Rhinolophus ferrumequinum: one gene and its partner. The protein of the gene in region 1 interacts with the protein of each later gene in a biochemical or structural test. Links are inferred from orthologs where the notes say so. Each region holds a gene or a part of one and is shown in the gene's direction. Other genes may lie near its edges. The genes, in order: CFLAR and DEDD2.

Region 1 (7,922 bases):
TACAATCTGATTGGTATCCCTACAAGAAGAGAATATTTGAACAGATAGAAAGACACTAAAGAAGTGTGTATACAGAGGAAAGAACATGAGAAGACACAGAAGGCTGTCATTTGCAAGCCAAGGAAAGAGGCCTCAGAAGAAACCAAACTTGCCAACATCTTGATTTTGGACTTCTAGCCTCCACAACTGTGAGAAATAAGTTTCTGTTGTTTAAGCTACCTAGTCTATGGTATTTTGTTATGGCAACCCTAGCAAACTAATACACTCCTCTTCTGTTATTTGGAAGAGTTTATGAAGAATTAGATTTAATTTTCCTTAAATGTTTTGTAGAATTCACAAGTTAATCTGTCTAGGTCTGGGCTTTATTTTTGGGTAGATTTTCAATAACTTATGCAATCTTTTCACTTTTCATAGATCGTTCGTATTGTCTATTTATTCTTGAGTCAGTTTTGGTAGTTAGTGTCTCTCTAGGGATTGGTCCATTTCATCTAGGTTATTTAAATTGTTGGTGTACAATTATTCATAGTGTTCCTTTATAAGCCTTTTTATTCTGTAGGATCAGTAGTAATATCCCCTCTTTCATTTCTGATTCAGTAATTTGAGTCTTTTTCTCCTCCTTGGTCAATCTAGCTAAAGATTTGTCAATTTTGTTCACCTTTTCAAAAAAATTGGCTTTAGGTTTAATTGACTTTCCCTATTGTTTTTCTATTCTATATTTTATTAATTTCTACTTTAAATCTTTATTATTTCTTTCCTTCTGCTTGCTTTAAGTTTAGTTTGTTCTTTTTCTAGTGTCTTACTTAAGGTGGAAGATTAGGTTATCAATTTGAGATTCTTCTTTTTGCTTAGTAGAGGCATTTATAGTTATAAATTTCTTTCTACGCAGTGCTCTAGTTGCACCCCATAAGTTTTGGTATGTTGCACTTGATTTTCATTCATCTCAAAGTATTTTCAGGTTTTTCTTATGACTTCTTTGACACAGTGGTTACTTAGGAGTGTGTTGTTTTATTTCCACATATTTGTGAGTTTTACCAATCTTTCCTGTTATTGACTTCTATTTAATTCTGTTGTAGTCAGAGAACATACTTTACATTGTTTTTATCCCTTTAAATTTATTGAGGTTTGTTTTATGGCCTACCAGTTGGTCTATCTTGGAGAATGTTCCATTGTGCACTTCACTGTGTATATTCATGTATAATTGATAATGTATATTCTGTTGTGTGGAGCATTCTACAGCTGTGAGTTAGGTCTAGTTGTTTTATAGTGTTGCTCAAGCATTCTGTTTCTTTGTGGATTGTTTAGTTGTTCTATCCATTATTGAAAATGGAGTGTCTAAGTTTCCAGCTATTATTGTGAAAATAATTTCCCCTTTATTTCTCCCAGCTTTGCTTCATGTATTTTGATGTTTTGTTATTAAATTCTTGTATGTTTATAATGATTATATTTATCTGATGGATCGACACTTTTATTGTAATAAGATGTCCCTCTGTACCTCTAGTAATATTTTTTGTTTTAAATTCTATGCTGCCTGATATCAATATGGCCACTCCATCTCTCTTGTTGTTGCTGTTTGCATGTTATATCTTTTTGCATATTTTTATTTTCAATCCCTTTGTATCTCTGAATTGAAAGTGTCTCCTGTAGGCAGTTATAATTGGATCATAGGTTTTTGTTTTTTTTAAATCCAGTCGAACAAGTTTCCCTTTTCATTGGATTATTTAGCTCATTTTCATTTAAGATTGTTGATATAGTTGGACTTGCATGTGCCATTTTACATTTTTCTATATGTCTTATGTGTTTTTCTCTACATTAAAAGTTTTCTTTTACATTAAGCGAATATTTTCTAAGGTATCATCTTAATTTCTTTAATATTTTTTACTATATATTTTTGAGTTATTATTTTAATAATTGCTCTAGGGTTTACCATATACATCTTAACTTATCAGAAGCAACTTCAGATTTATACTAGCCAGTTCCAGTAGTACAAGGAAATATTACTCCTAGATGGCTCTATTCCCTTTTCCCCCCATTTGTGGTATTTTGTATATATATTACATTAATGCATGTTACACACCGAACAATAGATTGTTGTAATTATTACTTTGCCAGCTATAGTCATTTAACTTTGCTCCCACCCACCTGTTTTGTGTTGGGAAATATATTTCACATATATTAATTTCTATATGTTATAGGCACAAAAATATATTATATCATTTTATACAATTGCTTTTTAAATCAGTTAAGAATAAGAGAAAAATATTCATTTATACTGTCTTGTAATTGTAGAATTACCTTTTCTGTTGCCCTTTTTTTTGGTGAGCATTTGATTTATTGTCTGGGGTTATTTGCTTTCAGCTTGAAGAATTTCCTTTAGTATTTCTTACAAGGTAGCTATATTAGCACAAATTATTTCAGTTTTTGTTTATTTGGGAAAGTATTTCACAAATCTTATTTTCATAAATTTGTTTTGCTTGGTTGAAAATTTTTTTTTTCTTCGAGCACTTTGAATATGTTATCTCATTGCTTTCTGACCTCTATATTGATTTTGCTGAGAAGTCAGCTATTAATCTTATTGCTATTCACTTAAAGTAATAAGTTGTTTTTCTCTTGCTGCTTTTAAGATTTCTTCCTTGTCTTTGACTTTCAGCATTTTTACTATAATGTGTCTGTAGATCTCTTTGCATTTAGTTTATTTGGAATTTGTGAAACTTCTTGGATGTGTAATTTACTGTTTTTCAATAAATTTTAGAAGTTTTTAGCCATTATGTCTTTGAATATTTTTTCTGCTGCATTTTCATGCTCTTCTCCTTCTGACACTCTCATTATGTACATGTTGGTGTGCTTCATGGTGTCCCACATTTCTCTGAGGCTTTCTTCATTTTTCTCTGTTCTTTGGCCTGCATAATCTCTATCTTAAAGTTAGCTTATTTTTCTCCTGCCATTTCAAGTCTATTGATGAGTTCCTAATGAATTTATTTCAGTTATTGTACTTTTCAACTCGAGAATTTCTATTTGGTTCATTTTTATAATTTCTCAGTCACATGCCTGCTCTAGGTTCTTAATATTTTTTATTGATATTCTCTATTTGATGTGACGTTATCAGACCTTCTGTTTCTTCTTTAATCATGCTTTTCTTTAGTTCTGTGAACATGTTTATAACAACTACTATGAATTCTTTTTCTGATAAGTCCAACATCCGGTTGCTCTCACAAGCAGTTTCTGTTGCCTGCTATTTTTCCAGTGTATGGGTTTCCTGTTTACTTGCATGCCTTGTAACTTTTTGTTGAATACTGAACATTTTAGATAATATATTGTAGCAACTCTAGGTACTTGTTTCCTCCCATTCCCCAAGCCTCACTTTGTTGTTTTTTGCTTGTTTATTTGCTAAATTACTTTAGTGAAGTCTATCCCCACTCCTGTTAAATTTCTGATATTGTTATCCTGTTATTACAGTGGTTTTTGGGTGGAGCTCTCTTCCTTTTATTTCCCGACCACACCCAGCTGTTAAGACTCCACATTTGCTGACTGATTGCTCTACTATTTTTTTTCTTAGAAAATTTTTATAAAAGTTTAGTTAAGCCAAACTGATGACATATGCCAGGGAGCAAGATCTCAAATGCTCCCTGATTGCTCTGTTATTTTCGATAATGTTCTGGCATAATTTGCTCTACAAATGAATCCAACCAAATTGTGGCCCTTTGAAACAATAGTTTATGAGGTGTTTAATGTTTGTTCTTATTCCAGGAGGGCTTTCCCTGTCTTTATCTCTAGCTCTCCATTGCAAACTAGCTAGGTTACAATTTAACCCACACCTTGAAACTCCTCCCAATTGCTTATCATCACAAACTCCAGGTTTTCGAGAATAACCTTTGGCTTGAATTTCAACATGTTGTGTTGCAAATAAAGTCAGTTCCTTTGGGAAGAGTTTAAGACCTATCTGTTTTATGGAGTGCTTTTCCCCCCAGGCACAATCACTGAACTAGGGCTTTGGAGCAACAGGTGGAAAGATATGTTACCGTGTTTCCCTGAAAATAAGACCTAGCCGGACCATCAGCTCTAACGCGTCTTTTGGAGCAAAAATTAATATAAGACCTGGTCTTATTTTACTATAATGTAAGACCAGATATGATACGATATAAGCTAGCTGCCAGCAATCTAATACCAACAGGAGTTCCCAATCTGGAGGGCGGAAAAAGGACACTATTCAAGTTAACAGTTTGCAAACTGTGCAGATGCAGTGCTCAGAAGAAGGGTAAATGCACTCCCCTGGGACGGGGAGGCCTGCCTTTTAAAGAGACAGTGCAAATGAATCCAAATTTGGAGTCTGACTGGTCCAAATAGCACTGGTCGTGTGTTCTGATTGGTTGTTATGAAACCACTCTGATCGGTTAGTATAGATGTAAATGAGGACATAGCTGTGTAGTGTTCCTATTGGAGGGCGCAGGTATCAGCCCATTGGTCCAAATATGATTTTATAAGGGTAGTCTCAAAAGACAGGAACAGTACAGGAAGCTGGCAGCTCAGCCTTTGGTTTTTCTCTGAAACCAGTGCATGAGTGTTCTCTGCCAGCATTCGCTGTTAGACTGATTATGAATTTGAGCCCAGTTAACCAGTAGGAGTCCTTCTTGGTGGGTATGTTCCTTCTCCAAGGTCAATACTCTCTTGGTAGTCTTGCAACTTTCCTGTAAGTTTACATTTATTTCAAGTTAAGTTAAATTTTAAAAAAATCACAAAGTAATAAATAGATGAAAACACAAATAGCTTTCACACTTGCTATTTATTATTATTCGTATACATCAGTAAAAAACACTAACAGTGTTTGTTCGTAACGACAATCAGAACTCCTTTAAACAACCATTCTGGGTTCACAGCATATTTTATGATCTTTATATCACAAAGGATACAAAGATAAAACAGTGGGTTGGCTGTGGCTAGGAGAATGTTTCAACTGAAGGGGACTCATTGGGGGCTGGTAAGTAAGGGGTCTCTGGCCCTAACGCAGTCAGCCCGCCCAACTTTCGTTGTGAAGATAAGTGCACGCGCAAGGCCACGTCGGTAAGCGCAACGTCCGCTTCCAGGCTTTCGGTTTCCTTTCCTACCTTTTACTGCGTTTCTCAAGCTTCCGGGACAGCGAAGCCTGGCAGCTCGCTGCAGGAAGAAAGCCCCACGGTGGACCAGACGGTACGTGTAGGCGCTTAATCCCGCCGCTCCGACCCTCCTCAGTCCTAGAGGTCTCATTGCAGGTTTCCGTGTCTGTGTCGCCGCAGGGCCTGAGCGCCGCCTCTCCCGTCCCTCGCCGCAGCTCCCCGACCTGCACTTTCCGGGAACTGGCCCTGGGCGGGGGCTCCCCGGCAAGGGTCCGGGATGGGGGGGTGGGTCTTCTGACAGGTGACTCAGTTCAGTAGCTTCCTTATACATGGTTTGCCCACGAGCGCCCGCTGGGGCGGAGCCCCCGTCCCCGCACGCACCCCCGCACCCACCTCCTTGCCCCGCTCTCCTTGCACCGGGATTCCCAAGAGGGCTGTCAGAGGCTGCCCGGATCCCAAGTGCGGTCCTCGGTGCGCCCGGATCCACCGGTCCAAATAACCCTTAGCAGAAACAAGCTTCGGTGGCAGGTCGCGAGCATCCTGTAAACTTTGCTTAAGATCATCTTGAGAGTTACTTCCTGGGGTGAACTGTTCAAAACATTTGGCAGTTTTCCTTTTAAAAAGTTGATGAAAAAGAGGACTTTTTCCTGCGCAATGTGTGTGCACGCTCGCCTTTACCCGGCAGAGGCAGCCGCCGGGCGGGACATTTCACTCGCTTGGTGAAGTAGGTAGGGCGGGATATGCCTCAAAGCATTTTAATATAGTATTTTTTGGCAAGTTGCAAGGAAAGCTTGCTGTGGGAAAGTCAGAATGACTGACTGATACATTTATAGAAAGCCTTAAAAAAACCCAATACTTGTTCCGGACTCTCCTCTCTTCCCCTCCAAGAGGACTAGGAAATAAATATAAAGTGTTTTCAAGATGTTGCTGGATGGTGACGGGGTTTTAAAATGTTAACAGTGGATTGCAATAGAACAAAGGGCATTGAAATTCAGACCAAGTTTTTGGTTCAAGGCAACAAGAAGTTCAAGGACGTTGAAGGTCTGGCGAATGTTTTTATTTGTTGACATTTTAAACTTGTTTACGCAACCGAGAGGTGGTGCCAGTAAGGTGATAGCATACTTGAAGTATTTGAACACAGACAAACCCGGATGGATAGTGAAGTCAGTTTGGGCCCTTCCGGTAAGAGATTCAGATAAGAGGAACAGAACTTTTGGTATTTTCCGATTTGTGGTTCCTCTAATCTTACCAAAAAAGTCTCGTTGAGAGGAGGAGCAAAAAAAACTTGGCTCAACTCCAACAAAACAAAACAAAAGACTCGAGCTTGGAAGGGAATATTGAATGTGGCCAACAGACGTTTTTTTATTTTAACCCTTGTTTTACTTACAGCTTCTGGGTTGGAGGTCCTGATTAAAATGGCTTTTTCTAACGACTGTGTTTTACATTTTGTTTGTAACTGACATTTGCACTTCCTTTAACTATCTTTACTCCCTACTTTTCACCCGCTTTCTTAGGTGGATCCACCGGCAGGTCTGCAGGAACTGGGTGCCCCTTGTCTTCTGCCCCCTTGGGAGTCTTGTGCGACTGGGGGCGTTGGGAGGATAGTCGCGGGTAGTGTGTTGTTGTTTATTAATAGCGGTGGCGGTAAGTACTGGAAACAAAACGAAGGTGTTTTTGTTACTAGGACGCCCACCGGTCATGCACTCGCTCTGTGAGGTAGTGGGGCAAGCAGCGCCCACTCAGTTACCGCCCGCTGCAGGGAATTTCCTGGAGCTACACGTAGCTCCCTTGCCCGTCCAAGGGCGTTTACTCACCGAAGACACAAGAGTGTGTGCACTGATGAAGTTTTTAAGGTACGGGCGGAGGGTTCTCAAACCTGAAGTGTCAGGTGAGCAGCGCGTCCCTGGAGGAGGCTTTTAGTATTGGAACTCTGCCCTAAGAGGCTTCGGGACGCCTCCCTGCAAACCAGCCTCTGACGCTACGTTCAGTTCCTTGTCCTGTTTGGAGAATTTCCAACTCCGGTTTTTCGGAGTGGTGGGTCTGATCGTATCCCGCATCGGTGGGGCGCCTTTGCAGGTGGAGATCCAGCTGGAAGAGCCGGCAGCTGCCCCGGCGTGAGTAGACCTAGAACCTTGTTTACTCCTCTTCTTCTTGTGCTGACGTCACCCTGAACTCCGGGGCTGTCGGGGCATTGTCCCCCGGTATAAAAGGATTGAGTCTCTCTCTTTTAGCCCTTTGGCGCTTCCTTGACTCTCATAGGGACTCATCCACAGCGCTCCTAGTAACCTGGCGTGTAGCTTTTTAAATTTTTCGGATTGGACTCCATTTGGTTATTTGTTCCTTGTAGGGCCCCAAAAGCTAATTAAACTCGCATTATGTACTGAAATGCCTCCTTTTCTTTAATTCAAGATAATCCTACCAATATTTATTTAGCTTCTCTGGGTCAGGCAGAGTTCTGGGTGTGAGAACACAGGCATAGATCTGAACTTGGTTCCTTGCGCCTGCTGGAAGCTCACAGAGTGGTTGGGGAGACCTACGCAGATAACTTGCCACGGACAGACTGGAACGGGAAGGAAGAAACCAGTTGGGCCAGACTGGGGAAATAATGGCAGGTCACAGAGCTGTCAACGTGTACTGTCACTTGGTCCTTGCTTTCTTTACTATAAATCAGTGAGGCAAGAAACACTTATTATTGATATGCCCTATTTCATTTACATTCAGCTCCTGTCACCTTCTCTAGGAAGACTTCACAATTCACGGTGGGTTCCTTTACTCTATGCTTGCATATACTCAGTGGCTATTTTTGCACTTACCATAGGATTGCACTTAACACAC
Region 2 (8,207 bases), on another chromosome or scaffold:
GAGAGCAAGGCCCTCTGTATTGGGGCGTGTTACGGCTATTCCACCGCGGGCCCCCTGGGCAGGTCTGGCCCCCGTGCCTGGCTCATTCCTGGGGCTCAGCGTGACCCAGTCTGCAGCCGAGCACCTGGGCACTTACAACTTTCCTCTCACATTGTCAAAAGTGAGATGAAGGGAGCCCAGAGCAGTCAAGTGTCTTCCTCCACTAGGCAGAGCCGAGTCCAGGGAAGGCTAGGGCAGGGGGGACAAGCAGAGGACCTGAAGAGGTATGTAACAGTGCCCAGCACAGACCTGGCAAGTGGCCGGGGCTCAGGAAAGGTTCCCTGAGCTTGCTGGGTAGCAGGGTGATGCAGAGCAAACAGCCTTGGCAAACCTGCTTTGCAATGTAGTGGGGTTACCTGGGACAGATCTTGTCTCAGAGCTTCAGTTTCCCCTCAGGCAGAGAAAGGTGACAAGAGAAACCTGGCAGGCTGTGGAGGAGTCAGCGGGTAAGGCCAGGGTACATCCTGGTACCTGGTGGGCACCAGAGTGGCTTGCCAGGGTGTAGTCCCATTTCTCCCTACAGGTGACCACACTTGCTGCTGCAACCAAACTCTTTTATTGCTGCTCTTAGCTGTGTCACATGAAGGCCGTGTCCAACTGCAACAGCCCGCTGGCTTCACTGGCCCCCAGTGCTGCCTGGCACAGCTGCAGCGTGTCCTCAAGGGCCAGTGGCTGGGACGTCTCGATGATGGCGATGGTCTCCCCAAGCTCGGTGCACATGATAGTCTGCTGAGGCTCCGGGGGCGGGGGCGGGGCGGGAGGCGGTGATCTGGGTTGCAGTGTCATCGTACGAGCTCGCGCATGGACCCGCTGATGCAGTCGCAGACCAGCCATGGCGCGGAACCAGCGGCCGCAGGTCCCGCAGTAGTAGGGGCTCTTGTTGTAGAGACCGGTGATGGGGAGGCGGGGCGCGCGGGCGAAGGCCACCGGCCGCAGGTGCAGCCTCCGGTGCTGCTGCAGGTTGGAGCTCTGCGTGAAGCGCTTGCCACAGTCCAGGCACTGGTAGGGACGCACGCCCGTGTGGGTCAGCTGGTGGCGGCTGAGGTTGGCCAGAGAAGCAAAGGTCTTGCCACAGGAGTGGCACTGGAAGGGCCTCTCGCCCGTGTGCGTCCGCAAGTGGTTGTGCACGTGGACCAGCTTCTTGAAGCCCTTGCCACAAACCCCGCAGCAGTGTCGCCGCTCGGGGGGTCCATGCACTGTGCGTCGGTGCCGGGAGAGGCGCGAGGTGGAGGAGAAGGATTTGGAGCACTGTGGGCAGGGCAGCTGGGTGGGCGGGGCGGGGGGCGGGGGCGGGGGTGGAGGCTCGGCACCAGCCGGGGAGGCCCCTGCTGTGGTGGGGGGCGCCCCGCTCTTGCCTGCGTGGGTACGCCGGTGGTAGAGGAACTTGGTCATGTTGCTGAATGTCTTGCCGCAGCGGCAGCGATGCAGTGGGTTGCTGGTGTGGGCCCGCCGGTGCGCCACCAGCGTGAGTTCTGTGCTGAAGCCGCGACCACAGTCCACGCAGAGGTAGCGGGCTTCGCCACGGTGCAGCCGCAGATGCTGCTCCAGTGAGGCTGCTTTTTTGAAGACCTTGAAGCAGGTTGGACATTCGTGGGTGCCACCGACGTGTGCCCGCCCGTGAGCCAGCAGCCGGTTTGCGGAGCTGAAGCTGCGCTGGCACTGGCTGCAGCGGAAGGGGTGGGTGGTTGACGCGGAGGCTCGGGATGCCAACCGGTGTCTGCGGCGCGCCCCTGCCGAGGCCCAGTGCTGGGGATAATCCTCACAGCCCTGGGCCCAGCCAGCTGCGGTCTTGCCGCCTCCCACACTATCGCCACCAAGCTCTGCAGGCCCTGCTGCCTCCTCTTCCTCCTCCGTCTCTTCATCCTCTTCTTCACCCTCCTCACACCCCTCCTCCTCCTCCAGCCCATTCCGTTCCTCTTTCTCTAGGGAGTCAAAGTGGGTGCCTTGATGTTCCAAGAACTCCTCAGGGGTGGCACAGAGGGTGCAGCACTCAGGACACTCGTAGGGCTCCATCTGGACTTCCGGTGGAGCAGGGGGTGGAGGTGGTGGTGTTGGGGGAGGCAGAGGGGGTGGCACTGGCGCTTCGGCTGCTGCAGTGGAAAGGTGCTGGGCCTTTCGATGAGCTACCCACAGTTCTGGTGAGGGGAACAGCTCCTGGCAGTCCCCACACTGGTACTGGATCTGGCTTGCAGACTCCCGGAGGTGGGCGTCCTGGTGGGCCAGGAGCTCACCATGGGAGAGGATGAGCTGGCTGCACTCACCACACTGGAAGGGCCCATCCGCAGCACCTGGCACTAGCTCTGGCTCCAGGCCAGCATCCGGGGTGGTCAGCGCCTCCTCCTCGGTGACAGTGGGCACGTGCTGCTCCTGGTGTGAGATGACTTCCTCCAGTGTGTTATAGAGGCTGCCACACTCAGAGCACATGAACTGGTGGTGCTGGAAGAAGAGGGATGAGGCAAGGGCCTCCCCAGCCTTCATCTCAGTCACCTCTGTTGACATCTCCATCATTTCCCCAAAGACCGGTATAGACATCTCCATTGCCCCTGGGGACATCTGTGTGGCCATCTCGGCCATCTCAGCCACCTCAGCCACCACCTCTGCCATGGTGGGGAAGGCAGTGCCTGGAGAAAGAAGGGAGCTGGTGAGACACCAGGAATCCAAGAGAGGGAGGATGTCTCAGGAGTTTCCTTGCCATCATGTCACTCACCAGCCTTTATCAGTCAGCGAGTCTGGATCCAGTGTTTATGTCTCAGTCTTCAATGAACCTGTGACTCTGAAGCTGACACATGCCCCAAGGTGGCCAGGCATCTGCAGGAGAGAGACAACCCTCCTCAGTCTGGCCTCTGATACTGCCCTTCTTACCCAGAGGGCCAGTCACACCCTTTCTGAGAACACACGTATTTTGGGGCCTCTTGGCTTTTGCCCGCAGTGCCCTCTCCGTGCAGCACCTTTCCTCCTTCTACACGGAGACACGGAGGTGCAGTAAAGCAAAGTGATTAAGAGCTGAGGTCCTGGAACCAGACTGCCCTTGGCCTGAATCTGAGGTCCATCACTTACTTCCTCTCTCTGGGACGGTTTTCTCACTTGTGAAATGGGGCTAAAAGTAGTACTGACCACGAAGTCCCTGGTACTTGATACAGGTTAGACAGTAGCACTTGTAGTTATCCAGAAATGCTTTTGGACCCTACGTCTTTGATGCTGCTATTCCTTCTGCCAAGAAAGTTTCTCCTCTTTTTGTCTAGCAAACTCCTCCCCAGCATTTTCTTTGTGAAACCTTTTCTGACAACATGTCTACATCCTCAGGCTAGTGGCCACTCCCTTCTCCTTGGAGTTCCTATGGTATCCTGTGCCACCTCTATCATAGCCCTTATCGTGAACTTGGGATGAAGTCTCTGTGCTCCTCACTGAGCTTGTAGTCAAGACAGATTCGTTGTAGGGGCTGCTGTCACCAACAAAACCACTGACCAGTGTCAAGGATTTTAACTTTTGAACTTTTCTCTATGTGCCCCATCTGCCCTTCTGGATGTGTGGGCTCAACCCAACCTAGGACTCTTCACATAGCAGGGACTCAAGGTCCCTTTGGCAAATGACTACCTCCCTCACAGGCCTAGGAGCTAATTTTCCGAATTCAGTCTCCACCTTCTCTCTCTCTTCTTCAACTCATCTGCTAGTGCCAGAAGGCAGGTGGAGTTCAGCCTGACACACAAAAGTTGCTCATGGTAAACTCCCAGAGGTCAGGGATTTTAGTCTGTTCGTCACTGATATATTTCTAGTACCAAGAACAATGCTTAGCACACAGCAGGCACTGAGTAGATATTTAGGGAATGGATAATGCTCCCTCAGGAAGTGAGTCCCTGGGAGTTTAAATGTTCCTGTGCTCATTCCACTTCTCCCAGCAGACCAACTCTCCTATTTGAGCATGAACTCCCACAGTAACTATCCAGCACAGGGCCGTACTTTCAGTTGGTGCCCAATAAATGCTCCTTGAGTAAATGATTCACTAAAAGCCCAGAACTAAACTTTCCTTAACTCCTTCACTAATTTTTGAGTTGCCAGGGCCCTGCACACAATAGCCATTCAATAAAGCATCTTCCTGGAAGTAGTGAACCAGGTGCCTGAGAGTTTAATTTTTCCTTGTTTACAGCCCCACTCCAAACAGGGAATTCCTCTAGGACGCAGGTAAATGTGTGGTGTAAGGCTTACACAAAGTAGGCACTCAGTAAATGTCCCTCTCGAAGGTGTCCCGACAGACCTAACATTTGAACTTTCCTCGTTTACATTACCTCCTTACCAATCTTGGATTGTGAAGTTTTGGGGGCTAGGAATGGGGGCTTTCAATACAGCAGATCAGTAAGTCCTTCCAGGAAAGAACCCACCAGGGGCCTGGAAGTTCAACTTTCCCGCTATACAGCGACACATCCCTTTTCTCTGGCCAGACATATCAACTCCACAACCTAAGAGCTCCCTGCGAGGAGTGGGGAGCCGGCGAGCTCAAGCGTAGGGTCCTGCACACCGCGGGAGCTCAATCAATGCTCCAGGGCATTTAGGAAGAAGCGCTCTCCTTCCACTCCGCGCCGCTCCCGCCCTAGCGCAGGCCCCAGTCCTCTTCAACCCCCGGTGTCCCCTTCGTTCTCCCTCCACCCTCTCCGTACGCCCAGCGCTGCCTTCCCGCGGCGCCCTCACCAGTCTCTCTCGTCTCCTGCAGCCCCCGTCGCTCTTGACACAGACCCTCTGCTCCTGGCGTGCGGGACCCCTCACTATCCACACCTCCCATTGGGCGGCGCCCTTACTCGTGGCGACCAATCGGAGCCGGCAGCGTAGGGCACGCGCCCTTGAGCCTGCGTGTTGAAGCTCAGGCGGGGCTAGGCGAGTTTCTCCACGCACGCAACTGTGCCCTGTGGGCTGGGCTCGCGGCTCCGAGGAGCGCTTGCGCAGTTCTCCCGAGCCGTTCCTCTGCTAAGTCTGAAAGTTAAGTGGAGAGAAATGGGCACCATTGGAAAGCAAGGGCCCATGGAGTGGCCTGGGCGGCGGGAGACCTTGATCAGAGGTGTCATTTCATAGCTGAAGAGACTGAGCATCTCCGAGAGCACAGCTTTGGAGCCAGACACAATTGGGGTAATTCCCCTCTCTCGGCCTTTTATTCCTGTGTAAAATGGGCTGGAATCATGTGCAAGGCTGTTGATGGAATTGGATGAAATCAAACACATAAAAACGCTCAGCGCAGGGCCTGATACATCGTGGGTGCTCACTATAACTCATTTAACATTGACGTAGTCCTTCCCAGTTTGCTTTCCCTTCCCTCCCACTCTTCGGTTGATTTAATGATATTAGCTGATTGGGTACCCACTGTGTGTTCGACCCAGGACTGGGCTTCAATAGGTTACAGTTGCCATCAAAGAGGGGAAGGGACTCTTCCAAGGTCCCTGCTGCAGCCCAAGCAGAGCCAGTGCTGAACCAGTGCCAGGCAGTACCTAGGTCTCCCGCCTCCGAAGGGGAAATAATTCCGGAAGTGGGAACCAGTCCAGGAGGGGACTTGTCTCAAGGCACGTGCGGGCCCTGACCTTGACTCACGTAAGTTGGGAGCGGGGTGGCCACCACACCCCAGGCTCCCCCATGCAGCCTGAACACCAGTTGCAGGTTAGAGATGGGGGTATTGGGAGATCCCATGACCTTGGAGGGCAGAGACTCGGAGGAGTTATGGGGGGGGGGGAGTTGGGTTCATGATGGATGCTGGAGGGGCCTACTGACATCTGGGAGGAGACATTGGTTCCTAACATGAGGTGAGGGAGTCCTTGTCTTGCTCAGAAGGATCTTATAGATGGCGGGGGGGGGGGGGGGGGGGGGAGGGAGGGCGTCTGTTGGACAAGGAGGGATTCTAGTCGGGATCATGAGATAGTACAGCTGGGTTGCGGGTTCCTGGTTGCCATTAGGAGTAAGGAGCAGTCTAATGGAAGGGCGTCCGAGTCCCGATCAAAAGAACCTGGGCACTACTCTGAGCCAGGACCGTCATGATTGTGGTCCTTTGCCAGGGGCTGGGGGCAGTGGTAATGTAGGCGTCTATGTCGTCTTTAAGAGGGAGCTGTAGTCCATGAGATGAGTCGTTCCGAAAGGTCGTGACGTGGGGCAACAAGGACCCGGCGGTTTGCGTCACGAACCGGCAGAAACAGCCCTGCAACCGTGTACCAAATTCAACTCAGACGCGGAACAACACACGCTTTGCGCAGGCGCAGCGCAGGCCGACCCAGACGCTACCGTTGAGGGCGGGCCTGGAGGGGTGGGGCTTGAAAGCCTCTCTCTGCGCTTGCGCCTAAGGGGCGTGGCGGTCGCACCTGCGCGAGTTGGAGGAAGGAAGGAGGGGCGAGGTGACGCAGGCGTAATAATAGAGAAGGTGCCAGAAAGATCCAAAACAAGTGGCTGCGGCCGTCGCCCAGGAGTCGTTAGACGCCGGATTCCGGTGAGGATCCAGAGAGGCCTAAGGGCGACTGGTGGCGGGTAGACGGAACCACCTGGGAGCTGGGGAGAGGGCGGTACCACCCTTACAAGGCGAGGGGGTCGGGTTCGGACAGCACCACCTGTATGGAGAGAAGGGCTACTTAGAGTCGGTCCCACTTGTAGGGGGCAGAGGGTCACTTTGGGATGGTACCAATTGGGTGGAGCGATGAGGCTCATCGGACAGTACCACTGGACCGAGCCGAGGGTCACATCCAGACAGTGCTACCCAGAGTCAAAGGGCAGTCGGCAGGGTGCCTCGGGGTGGGCCCGCAGTCTTGTTCAGACCGAATCACTTAGTCGGTTCCGGAGGCTGGTTCGGAACATTCCACCTGGGGAGGGGCTTTCGGACTCGGCAGGATAGACTAATCGGTCTAGTGGGGTCTGGCGTCTCAACCTGTTACTAGGGGACCTAGGGCGATACCATTCCTTTCCGGGGAAGGGGGAGGCTGAGACGACTGAAGTGTGAGGGTGGCCCTGCCCCGCGGGATGGGATCGGGGAGACACACTGGCGGAGAAGGGGCCAGGCCCCCGCGTCGCTGACCTCCCCCCCTCCCCGTTGAGTGGGTTCTAGGCCCTGGTTCGAGCTTGTTCCGCCCCTCTCCCCCGGGTATGGCGCTGTCTGGGTCGACCCCTGCCCCGAGCTGGGAGGAGGATGAGTGCCTGGACTACTACGGGATGCTGTCGCTTCATCGTATGTTCGAGGTCGTGGGCGGGCAGCTGACCGAGTGTGAACTGGAGCTGCTGGCTTTCCTGCTGGACGAGGCTCCCGGCGCCGCTGGCGGCCTGTCCCGCGCTCGTAGCGGCCTGGAGCTGCTGCTGGAGCTGGAGCGTCGCGGGCAGTGCGACGAGAGCAACCTGCGTTTTCTAGGGCAGCTCCTGCGCGTGTTGGCCCGGCACGACTTGCTGCCGCACCTGGCGCGCAAGCGGCGCCGGCCAGGTATGGTTGAATGGAAGGGCGAGAGACTTCGGTGGTTAAAGGGCCTTCTTCCCCATCTGGGCCCCTATGGTGCCCTGATATGGACAGCGCAATATCAGACAGCCTATGTCCCACCCCACTCTCCCCTCCTCACAGAGTAGCAATGAGAAACGCAAGAGGGAGGAGGCATGGCTTTGGGAGGGGCGAGCTGGTGGAATTTGGCCTCATCAATAATAATGTTTGTGACCACTTTATGGAGGGCTTATTTCATGCAAGGCACAGCATAAGCCCTTCATACGAACTATCACTTTGTATTCTGCTGGTAATCCCATGAGGAAGTCCTGTTACTGTCCCACTGTACAGGGAAAACATCAGATGTAGAGAAGTTAAGCAACTTGTCCATATATAAGAACTGAATCCTGTATGACGGCACAGGAGATACAGGGTGACCATCTGACAAAGTATTTGTTCCATGAGGCTTACATTTAGTGGGGGAATCAGACATTAAAACATAAACAATTTACATATGGTTGTAGAAAGACTAAAAAAAAGGTAATGGAATATAGAGGGTAGGGAGCTCCACTAAGTGAAGGGAGGCCCCCTTAGATTGGATAACCAGTCAAGACCTTTCTGAGAATGTGACATTTGAACTGAGGCTGAACTGGTGCCACTGTGCATAGATCTCAGAGGAGAAAAATTCTAGGGAGAGGGAAAGGCAAGCTTTCAAGCCTTGAAGCAGGAATGAGTTTGGCATCATCAG

The links.
Region 2: the proteins of CFLAR (region 1) and DEDD2 form a complex in vitro, tested with the Homo sapiens proteins (2 studies listed by BioGRID). The link is inferred for Rhinolophus ferrumequinum from reciprocal best matches to the Homo sapiens genes CFLAR and DEDD2.

Annotation. Positions count from the first base shown.
Region 1 is NC_046291.1:30,189,274-30,197,195, reverse strand, and holds the start of CFLAR (CASP8 and FADD-like apoptosis regulator), read left to right. Parts: upstream 1-4,763; 5' UTR 4,764-5,181; intron 5,182-6,155; exon of another isoform or gene 6,156-6,738; intron 6,739-6,901; exon of another isoform or gene 6,902-6,973; intron 6,974-7,048; exon of another isoform or gene 7,049-7,201; intron 7,202-7,808; 5' UTR 7,809-7,846; intron 7,847-7,922. UniProt on the Homo sapiens protein: Apoptosis regulator protein which may function as a crucial link between cell survival and cell death pathways in mammalian cells. Acts as an inhibitor of TNFRSF6 mediated apoptosis.
Region 2 is NC_046298.1:40,129,888-40,138,094, reverse strand, and holds the start of DEDD2 (DNA-binding death effector domain-containing protein 2), read left to right. Parts: upstream 1-5,177; 5' UTR 5,178-5,610; intron 5,611-6,334; exon of another isoform or gene 6,335-6,493; intron 6,494-7,092; exon of another isoform or gene 7,093-7,102; 5' UTR 7,103-7,140; coding exon 7,141-7,468; intron 7,469-8,207. Other genes in the region: ZNF526 (zinc finger protein 526), read right to left, coding at 616-2,643. UniProt on the Homo sapiens protein: May play a critical role in death receptor-induced apoptosis and may target CASP8 and CASP10 to the nucleus. May regulate degradation of intermediate filaments during apoptosis.